Linked DNA regions of Diceros bicornis minor. The protein of the gene in region 3 binds, or shares a complex with, the protein of the main gene of each other region. Links are inferred from orthologs where the notes say so. Each region holds a gene or a part of one and is shown on either strand. Other genes may lie near its edges.

What was found.
Region 1: the proteins of CCKBR (region 3) and GNAI2 are in contact, whole or in part, in a cryo-EM structure (PDB 7F8V), measured with the Homo sapiens proteins. The link is inferred for Diceros bicornis minor from reciprocal best matches to the Homo sapiens genes CCKBR and GNAI2. Residues at the interface, in NP_795344.1 of Homo sapiens: Thr87, Thr89, Arg152, Ala155, Ile156, Pro159, Leu160, Ala162, Arg163, Val164, Thr167, Ser169, Ile241, Gly248, Leu249, Lys328, Val331, Leu335, His394, Arg396; in NP_002061.1 of Homo sapiens: Glu28, Ala31, Arg32, Glu33, Val34, Lys193, Leu195, Thr220, Phe337, Thr341, Asp342, Ile344, Ile345, Asn348, Leu349, Lys350, Asp351, Cys352, Gly353, Leu354, Phe355.
Region 2: the proteins of CCKBR (region 3) and GAST are in contact, whole or in part, in a cryo-EM structure (PDB 7XOW), measured with the Homo sapiens proteins. The link is inferred for Diceros bicornis minor from reciprocal best matches to the Homo sapiens genes CCKBR and GAST. Residues at the interface, in NP_795344.1 of Homo sapiens: Cys107, Pro114, Asn115, Gly118, Thr119, Phe120, Met134, Gly135, Val138, Tyr189, Gln204, Cys205, His207, Leu222, Val349, Tyr350, Ala352, Asn353, Arg356, Pro361, Ala363, His364, Leu367, Ser368, Ile372, His376, Tyr380; in NP_000796.1 of Homo sapiens: Glu85, Ala86, Tyr87, Gly88, Trp89, Met90, Asp91, Phe92.

The regions. Positions count from the first base shown.
Region 1 is NC_080741.1:51,281,366-51,285,113, forward strand, and holds the start of GNAI2 (guanine nucleotide-binding protein G(i) subunit alpha-2), read left to right. Parts: upstream 1-1,299; 5' UTR 1,300-1,346; coding exon 1,347-1,464; intron 1,465-3,748. UniProt on the Homo sapiens protein: Guanine nucleotide-binding proteins (G proteins) are involved as modulators or transducers in various transmembrane signaling systems.
Region 2 is NC_080757.1:41,008,675-41,011,086, forward strand, and holds GAST (gastrin), read left to right. Parts: upstream 1-1,306; coding exon 1,307-1,526; intron 1,527-1,648; coding exon 1,649-1,752; 3' UTR 1,753-1,797; downstream 1,798-2,412. UniProt on the Homo sapiens protein: Gastrin stimulates the stomach mucosa to produce and secrete hydrochloric acid and the pancreas to secrete its digestive enzymes. It also stimulates smooth muscle contraction and increases blood circulation and water secretion in the stomach and intestine.
Region 3 is NC_080746.1:64,370,275-64,374,022, forward strand, and holds the start of CCKBR (gastrin/cholecystokinin type B receptor), read left to right. Parts: upstream 1-1,062; 5' UTR 1,063-1,083; coding exon 1,084-1,234; intron 1,235-3,748. UniProt on the Homo sapiens protein: Receptor for gastrin and cholecystokinin. The CCK-B receptors occur throughout the central nervous system where they modulate anxiety, analgesia, arousal, and neuroleptic activity.

The DNA of each region.
Region 1 (3,748 bases), on a different chromosome or scaffold from region 3:
TTCAGATAGGATACACAGATACTGCAGGGAGAGCAGACAGCCTGAGGACTGGGGAGCTGAAACAAGATGTGTGCCAGTGTGGTAAGGAGGGAGTCTGTGCTGAATGGGGCTGTGGGTGGCCAAGCATTGGTGGCCAGCTCCCCTCCTGGCTTTGTGGAACTTCCTTGTCTTTGGGCCGAGGCCTCCCTGGTTCATGTTACTGGGGCCACACAGGACACCTTCCTGGGTAACCCTTGGCAGACCCTTCAAATATCCATCGGAGGTTGGGGCTGTGGACTCCTCCTGGAGAACAGGATTAGAAAGACTGAAATGTTCTGCTAAAAACACTGCTGCCTCCACCCCACCAGCCATAGGGTTGCAGCCACTATCCAGTGGGGACAGGCCATAAGATCATGGCCACTTATGTTTCCAAAAGTCAGGCGGCATATCCCTCTCCCTCTCCTCCCTCTCTCTGTCTCTCTCTCTCTCATTCTCTCTGTCTCCTTCTCTCTTGGGTCCTGGTTGCCAGGTCCCAGACTGAAATCCAAGATGGCTACCTGCAGGGGGATGCCTCCTAGAAGATCAGAGAAGGATGGATAAGCCTTGGATGACTAGAGAAGGCACCCCAGCTGAGGGAGACAGACTAGAGGTGGTAAGAGACTTTTTTTTTTAATATTGCAATCCAGAGAGAGAAGGTGACAAACCTGCCTTAAGACGGAGCAAGCCCCAGTCCAGAGAGGCTCTGGCCCTCTGCAGATCCCGAAACAAGTTTATTGGGTTCATTAACTTTAACAAGTGACGAAGACACGCCTCCTCCACCCAGCTCGCCCAACTAACAAGTACAGAGGACTGGTTCCTGCTCTGGCCGCGAGGTGCACCGGATCCCCACCCTCCGGCTACGAGATCTCCCGCCCCCGCCGTGGGCCGCTGAGCTCCAGGCGCTCCACACCCAATCGGAGCCCGGCCCCGCCTGCAGCCGGCTCGGAGCCCAATCCCTCTGAGCTTGGCTCTACCCCTACAGCTATCCCTCGCGTGGCTCCGCCTCCAGCCCCGGCCCGAGCCTGAGCAGCGCCTAACTTCTCCTTCGCTCCGCCCTCGAGCCAATCACCTGCCCCGGATCCCCTATGGCCCCGCCTCCGGACCCGCCCCGGCCCAGTCCAGGGCCTGGCTCGCTCCGGCTCCACCCGCGGCCCGCCCAGCCGTCGGTGCGCGGAGGCCTGGAAGGCACCGCCCGCAGACGCTCGGGACTGCCGACCCGAGAGCTACCCGTAGAGGGCCGGCGGCGGGAGCGGAGTGGGTCGGGCGGGGCCGAGCCGGGCCGGGGGCCGTGTGGGGGCCGGGCGGCGGCCGGGCCGGCGGACGGCGGGATGGGCTGCACTGTGAGCGCTGAGGACAAGGCGGCGGCCGAGCGCTCCAAGATGATCGACAAGAATCTGCGGGAAGACGGCGAGAAGGCGGCGCGGGAGGTGAAGTTGCTGCTGTTGGGTGAGGCCACGCCCAGCGTTGGGACCCCCCCCCCCCCCCCCCCCCCGCCACACACACACTCCCCGCCTAAATCCCCAGACAAGGACTTAGACCTCCAGACTACGGCTTCGAACTTCCAGACTCGGCGTGAACTCCCACACCTGGATTTGAATCCCCGGACCCGGCCTGGCCAGAACACCCAAATAATGGTTCAAAACTCTGGGTTGGCCTAGACCTTTGATCCATAGCGCAGACTCTAGACCCTCAGCTCGTCCCAGACCGTAAAACCCCAAACCCAGCCACCAGGTCCTCAACACCAGCTGCCCAGAACCCTGCTTGACCATCCACCCTTGCTCACCAACTCACAGACCCTCAGAGCCCCTGCCTTGTCCTTCCATCTCTCCCTAGACTTTACCCAAACCCCTAGACCCCACGCGGCCCCTACCCTCAGGCACCACCTGTTTCCCCCACCTGCTCCCCCTATTCCTATTGGGCATGAGTATCCCCGAGGGCCCCTGCCAGGCCCCCACCCACTCCTTCCTTTCCCCTCTGTGCCCCATCCCTACTCTGGACCCTATATCCTCCACCTGTGCACCCTGACTCCAAAGGACCTCTCAAGTGGGTAAACATGACTGCTCATGAGCCCTCTCTCTAGCCGGAACCCCCAAACCTCTAGAGACCCCTGTTCTCTGCATCTGGCCCACCAAGTCCCTCTCTGCAGGCATCACTCCTTAAACCCTCTGCTCCCCCTCCCTTAAGTCCTCTCCCACACTCTGGCCTTGCCCAGATTCCCCCACCCCTCCTGCACTGGGTGGGCTGGGCTGGGCTGGGCTGGTTGGAGGGGGCCCAGACCCCTAAGGGGCTGGACTGAGGCTCCACGGGTCATGCTGGGGGAGGGGGCCAGGCCTCAAACTTCCCAGGGAGAGTACACTGACTCTCTGTTTCTCAGTTTCTAAGCCCTGTCTGGGCCTGTGAGAGGGAGGTGGTCTGGGGAGTAGGAGGGAGTGTGGAGGAGTTTGGGTTGCGGCGCCTGTACGGCCAGGGAAGATGGTGGATGCTTGAGAGGTGGGGGGAAGTGGAAGTGGTGAGACAGCCGACATATTGCTGCCCCGGCAGGCGGGGCGGAGGAGATCGGCTGACGGGTACTGGGCTACCCGCACTCCTTCTAGGCCGAAAAGTCTCGGACATGGCCTCTGGGAGTGAGTGGGCCTGTTGGGTCTTGAGGCCCTGTGAAGGGGGAGTGGTGGACCAGCTGGATGAGGAGTTGGGGAGCCAGCTGAGGGTGGGCATCTGTGGTGGACCTCTGCAAAGATTGGGCCATGTAGTTGTTCCCGTCCAGTTTCCCACTCGGAGCAAGTGTGGTGCCCAGGGGCAGCCTGACTTGGGGGGCGTTTCAGGGTTGTGGGGCGGGAGGCCCTCACAGCAGCGAGGAAGGCTGGACAGTGTATGTGGGGGGGTGTGGCCCCTTGGCCCCAGAGCTGCTCTGGGGTCCCTAGGCTGTGAAAAGCAGGGCTTTTCATGCTGGGCGTATGGCCGAGGGACAGCATGTCTTCCATCATGGGCCCATCTGTTGACTGTCCCTGGGGGCCTGGCTTCGGGGGCACAGCCCTGGAGGTTTCAAAATGGCATCCGCTTCACCGCCGCTGCGGGGAGGAAGAGAAGGGGCGGGAAGGGGCGGCGGCCCAGCCTCCTGGGCTGTTTTGCGTTGGGCGCTTGCCTCTTCCTGTCTCTGCTGTGAGTGCGGCAGCGGCAGTGAGTGGGTGTCGACGCGGTGGAATGCCCGTCGCTGCTGCCCGCTGGGCCTGGAGAAGGTGCTTCCGGTACTGCTGCCTCCCCGTGCCCAGCCAGGAGCATCTAGCTAGCCCCCTCTCAGGCCGACTGCAGCGGCTGAGGAGATATGGGAATGTGCCATGGGGCTTGGGGACACAGAGCTCCTGTCCTGTTCTGTGTCCCTACCGCATCCCATCAGTCTTGCTCTTTGGAGCCCTGCTCAGGTTTTGAGCCTGGTAACCCCTCCCATGCTGGGCTGGCAGCAACCAGGGGTGCAGGGTCTGGCTCAGCATTTGCTAGGCTGGGGAGTCCATCTCAGCATCCTGCTCCTCTGGCTGTGCTTCCTCTGTGAAATGGGCTTCCTGGGTTTGGGCCAGAGGAGTGCTTGGGCCCAGAATGGGAAGAATAGGGGCCTTGTGGAGGTTCCTGTTGGGAGTGTGGGGTGGGGGCTAAAACCCTGCAGAGGGTGCACTGCAAGGGGCTGGGAGACCAAGCTGTGCCTGAAATTGAGGACCCAACTTGCTGTGGCTGGCTG
Region 2 (2,412 bases), on a different chromosome or scaffold from region 3:
CTTTCTCTAGCCCAAGGCCAGACCAGGCCTCAGCTCTAGGACCCACCCTGGCCTTTGCAACCCTTGCCTTCGAGCTGACCTGCTGCTTCAACCAGGGCCCTGCCCTGCCCCTCTCACTCCACGCTCACCTTACCCCTGCGAGGTGAGAAGGACGGGGCTATTCTCCCATCTCTCAGGAGAGAAAACTGAGGCCCATAGGGAGATGTGACTTACCCAAAGTCATACAAATCATTGGGCAGGGCTGGGTCTGGACCCCAGGGCTCCTGGATCTCATCTCAAGCGCTTTTCTAGACCAGCACTGTCTAAAAGAGTTTTCCACGATGACGGTAATGTTCTCTCTGCATTGTCCATTACAGTATCCACCAGCCACATGTGCACTGGAAATGTGGTGTATGCAAGGGAGGAATTTTTCATTTTAATTAATTTAGACGTAAAGAGCCACGTGTGGCTACCATAGTGGACAGCATGGCTCTACCTCACTGATTTTCGACTTTGTTTCTTTAGCAGCAAAACTCTTTCTCTTCCAAGGGAAATCTGACTATGCAAAACAGATCAAAGCAGTGTTTTATTCATACAAATGTGTTCTGAGGAGGTACAATTTTTATCGTTTACTTCTGATAAAGCCAATCAGAACAAGGAAGCTAAAAGAACACAAAGATGTTGAATCCAGAGAACCGAATTTTAGATTTGAATTTTCGGTTTGTTTGAGTATCCAGGTTACTCTGTATTGTGGTTCCTCCAAACTTGATTCACCCTGATACATGGCTGGGAATGGTGACAATTTAATTTTCTCTTAATTACAACCACAGGATAGTCCTCAGTTAAGCAAAAAAGGCAGGAGACCCTCCCCTCCGAGGGCTGCACAAAGACCATGTGACCCAGCACGCGTGAAGGTGCTGGGGTCGCCAAAGAGACACCCTGTGGTCTGCAATGCAGCTGAGTGTGCATTTCTTTGGTATTACTATTTAAAAGTTGGCTTTAAATTACAAGACTTAAACATCTACAGAGCCACTCACATGGCCTCAAATTCTGCAGAGCAGTTTGGAAACTACTGCTCTAGGTTTTAAAATCCTCCAAGAGAAGCAGTTGCTGTAACTGGGGAAAGTAAGGAGGAAAGGCCCAGGCTTGGCGGCTGGGGAAGCCGACAGGAGCTGGAGAAACGAACTAGAGGAACAGTCCACAACCCCACGAAGAACTGCAGAGCTGTCAGCAGGGAGGGCCTGGGGTACATCTGGTCCAGGGCCCAGACTCTGGGTGCCTGGACAGCCCACCTTTAAGCTCGGCCCTCCTCTCCTTTGCAGACAAGATGGGGCGACTGTGTGTGTATGCGCTGATCTTTGTACTGGCTCTGGCCGCCTTCTCCGAAGCTTCTTGGAAGCCTCGCTCCCAGGTGCAGGACGCGCCCTCGGATCTGGGGGCCAATAAGGGCCTGGAGCCACGTTGGCCAGACCGGCTGGATGGGCTGGGTCCAGCCTCTCATCACCGAAGGCAGCTGGGGCTCCAGGGTCCCCCACACCTGGTGGCAGGTAGGAGCTGCTGACAGCCATCCCGGCTTCCTTTGCCCCGCCAGGTTTGGCTTAGGCCTCGGTCTCTAGAGGCTGGGCATGCTTCCTCCATCCTCACCCCCTCTCCCTCCTCTGACCCTCAGACCTGTCCAAGAAGCAGGGGCCGTGGGTGGAGGAAGAAGAAGAAGCATATGGATGGATGGACTTCGGCCGCCGCAGTGCTGAGGAACAGGACCAACGTCCCTAGAACTAAGCTTCAGAGCCCAGCCACCTCCTAGCCCAGCCCAGCCCTGCCCCATGAAAAACCAATCAAAATAAACTAGCTTCCAATAGATCACTCTGTGTCAAGTGTCCCGGGGCAGGGGAGGGGAATGGGTTGGAGGCAAGACTGAGGCAGGGAGGAGAGTTGAGCGCCCCCTAGGGGCAGGGACCGCGGCTAATTCTTCTTGGTGTCCCCAGAGCCTAACATCAAACAAGAATCTACACCGGTGAGTGGGAGAAGAGGTGGTGGGGTCGCAACTGGAGAAAGCTTTCTAAAAGATAAAGAAAAGCATGCCACTCCAGGCTTAACCATCCAACACTTCCCATCGTACTTAGAATAAAACTTAAACTCCTTACCGAAGCCTACAAGCTAGCCCTGCCGTCCCTGTTGTGGGCGCCGCCATGGGTGCGTTCCTTCCTCCTCTCTCTCCCTCTCCCTTACACAAATGCACCATGTTCTTTCCTGCTCAGAATCTATGTCTTTGCTGTTCCCTGCACCTGGAATGCTTTTCTCCAGGCACAAACGTGGCTGGGTCCCCTTTTTCTCCTTGAGTTCTTGGTTGAAATGCCACTTCCTGAGAGACCCACCCTCTCTGCCCCTCACCCTTCACACACAGACCCCAATATCCTCTAATCACAGCATAAT
Region 3 (3,748 bases):
CGCTGAGAGCAAACAGGGAGCGTCAGTGTGTCTGGTGAGAGTGGGCGCTGCCTGGAGACCACGGAGAAAGCCGGCTGCCTCTTCTCTCTTACACGTGCGCTGGGCAGGGATTGCAACGATATCCCACCCTCCCCTCCGCACCCGCTTTATCCTAGGCAGTTCTCACCACCACCCCGGCCGCCCTCAACACCCAAGTCAGACTATTCCTCCGGGCAGCCCTTTACCCTGCCAGAGTTCCCCTGGGACAAATGCTGCCCCTCCCACCCCCCTATCCTCGCCCGCTGCGGAGGGTTCCTTGGGAGCTTTGGGTGGAAGCCTGGATGCTGGACCTGAAGTAGGAGGTCGCAGGTGCTGGGGGTAGATGCAGGGACTACACTGGCCCCGCGGCGAGGAGCCGCAGGGAACTACGGTAGCAATAGTGTCGCGGTCACTGCGGCCACTGCGGCATAGTACGGTAACCGCGGCGCTCCGCGCGCGCTAAGGCATCTGCGCCGCAGCCAGTGACTCCCACGCTGCCTCCGTCTCAGTTGCCACCTCCACGTCTCCTGACCCTCGAGGGAAAGATGCTAGACCCCACGGCAGCCGCGCCCTACCCCACCCCTCTTACCCTCCCTCCCCCGCAACCTCCCTCCTCGCAACCTCTCCCTCCGCACCTAACCCCCACCCTCATCCCCGCCAACACACATGTTCACACACACACACACACACACACACACACACACACACAGTCCCGAGAATCCCCGGAACCCATGGTGAAGGGGAGTGGGCGGGAAGCAAATCTCTAAGAGAAGACCGGAGAGATCTAGGGAGGGGAGAGCCTGAAGGACAGTCACACAGCGGGGCGAGTAAGCCCTGAGCGGGGGAGGGTGCGGAGAGTCACCTGGTGGGACAGAGCGGACCCGAGCCTGGGAGGGACGCGAGCCTAGGCGGGGCGAGCGGAGGAGGAGTGGAGGGGCAGGGGCCGAGGTTGGGGGCGGGGACCAGGCGGGGCGCGAGCCTCAGCCGGAATCGCAGCGTGAGCAGGTGGAGCCGCAGCGGGAGCCCGCCCGGCGAGCGGTGGGAGGCGGCGGCTGGGCCGGGGCCATGGAGCTGCTAAAGCTGAACCGGAGCGTGCAGGGATCCGGACCCGGGCCGGGGGCTCCCCTGTGCCGTCCGGGGGGCCCCCTCCTCAACAGCAGCGGTACCGGCAACCTCAGCTGCGAGCCCCCTCGCATCCGCGGAGCCGGGACACGAGGTGGGTACCTCCCTAAGCCCTCTCCACAAGCTCCTTCTCACTGCACCACAGCACTAATAGAGGGCCCCCCACAGCCTCTACACTGCCTCCTCAGACGCCCACACCATCCCCTTATAGTTCTGCCTGAGTCCCCAAACAGCTCCCCCTGACACATTTGTCCCCCACAGCTCGTAAAACTCCATTACAGCTTCACACTACCTTGTCAGAGCACCTTCACACCCTGGTCCCCTGGTCACACCCAGAGCTCCTGGTCACCCCCAAAACACAGCATCCTCCCCAACACACAGCCCCCTCCTAGACGCCGATAGTGGGGAGGCAAGGACCTCCTCTTGCCAACCTTTCCAGGTCTCTCTTTTCCTTTTACACTCAGTTCACAAAGCCACAATGAGGAAGGAAAGAAAGGAAGGCAAGATTCGGAAAAAGAAGGGGACTGCTTTGGGGAGGGAGCGCTCTGGAAGGCCTGAGTGGGAAGTTTGAGTTATAATCTTCTGTCTCCCGCACCTTAACACCTCAGGCCTTCCCAAAAGATATCCTCTAACCTGAATTAGGCTGGGCACTGGGGGCTGCTCCCTAGAGCTGCCTTTCTCCATTTCACTCATCCTCAAATCCCCATGCAACCCAAGTTAGAGTTCTTCTCAAGGCTCTGTACCCTCTTTCTTTCTCTGTCTCCAAGTAATGTCTCCAGGTCTCTTCCAAGTCCCTCCAAGCTGCCCTTCCTTAGGTTTCACCCTCCTAGAGCCTGGCTGCCCCATTCATCACCCCATCCCTTTGTGCCACCATCTTCCCCCCCAAAACTCCAGACTGCTTCCATTCATCCAGTCCCCAAAATGACTTTCACTCCTCCTATCAGCCAATATCCACATTTTCCTGATGATCCAGCTCAAAATATATTTTTCCCCTTCCTTGACCTTTTCTTTCCTTAAATGTTTACTGGACACCTGCTATTGTAGTCCCTGGGTTAGGTGCTGGGGACACAGGGATAAACTGGACCCAGTCTGGACCCTTATCAGCCCATAGTCAGGTGCAGAGGGGAGACAAAACTAGTGGAAAAGTCAAAGTCAGTATGGGAAGTCCCACAAGAGGGTCTGAATCATGGGCACCCAAAGGAGATGGAGTCTGAGAACTTCACAGAGGGAACCTGGGAGCTGAGTCTTGCAGTTGGAGTTCAGTAGTCAGAAAAGGAGGAAACAGGATTCCAGGAGAGAGAACAGTGTTAAGCAAAAGGAAATTATTCCAAGCTCAAGAAGGGAAAGTGGGAATAAATTGTAATTCGAGTATTAATTTACCCCACAAAATAATGCATGCTTTCTCAGACCAGTTGTTATACACTCTCACTTAGATTCTTTCATTCGACAAATATTTATTGAACCAGAGATTGTGCTAGGCACCAGGGACGTGAGTAGAACAAAACTGACAGAGCTTTCATAGAGCTCCATGTTAGTGGGAGAGACAAGACAAGTCAGCAGGAAGCTGCAGCAGAGTGGGAGGTGCCCTGAGAGGACTGTGGGGACACAGAAGAGGAGCCCCTCTAGCCTAGCCTACCCTAGGCTTGGGAATCAAAGTTGGCCTCCTGAGGAGATGAAGTATGAACTAAATAAAAAAGCTGAGGGAGAGTCAGCCAAGTGAAGGGGCAGTAAAGGCAAAAAACAACCCAAGCAGAGGAACAGTATGTGTAAACACCCAAAGTTTAAATCCATGGCACTTTTGTTCAGTGTGTCATAGTTTCTAAGTGAGACATGTACCATAACAGAGGAATAATGAACCCTCAGGATGAAGACCAGCCTAGAGGGTTTATGGAGAGCCTTGTAGACCTGGCTGAGGAATGCCTATTTTATCTTGAGGGCACTGAGAACTGCTGAAAGGCTCAGTAGTTCAGCCAGGATTAGTTCTGTAGTGTAGAGCATGGACTGGAGGACAAGAAATGGAAGGCGGGAGGCGGGAGGCGGGCGGATGCTTCTGAAGGCTATTATATTACACTGGTCTCCGTGAAAGATGATGCTTAGACTACTTAGACTAGGGTACTGGCAGTGGGGGTGGAGAGAAGTGGATGGATTTAAGAGGCACTTCAGGAAGTGGAATCAATAGAACTTGGCAATTTATTAGAAATGGAGAGGGAGGAAGAGGTCAGGGCATGACATCCAGGTTTCTGGCTTGGACAATTGGATGGATGTTCATGCCATATAATGAGAATGATAACAAAGGAACAGAAACAGGTTTGAAAGAGGAGATTATAAGTTCAGTTTGGAACCCACTGAGTTTAAATGCTGGTGAGCTATCCAGGTGGTGTTGCCCAATAAGCTGTTGAATCCAGGGGCTGGAATGTGGGAGAGGGGTATGAGCTGGAAATGCAGACTTGAAAGGTCTGCGTAGAGGAGGTAACAGAAGCCATAGGAATAGATAAAATCATACAAAGATTGTGTAGGATGAAAAGAAAAGAGGTCCTGGGACAGGACCCTGAAGAAGACCAATATTTAAAAGCCAGGCAAAGCAAGGAAAGTCCGTGAAGGTGATCAA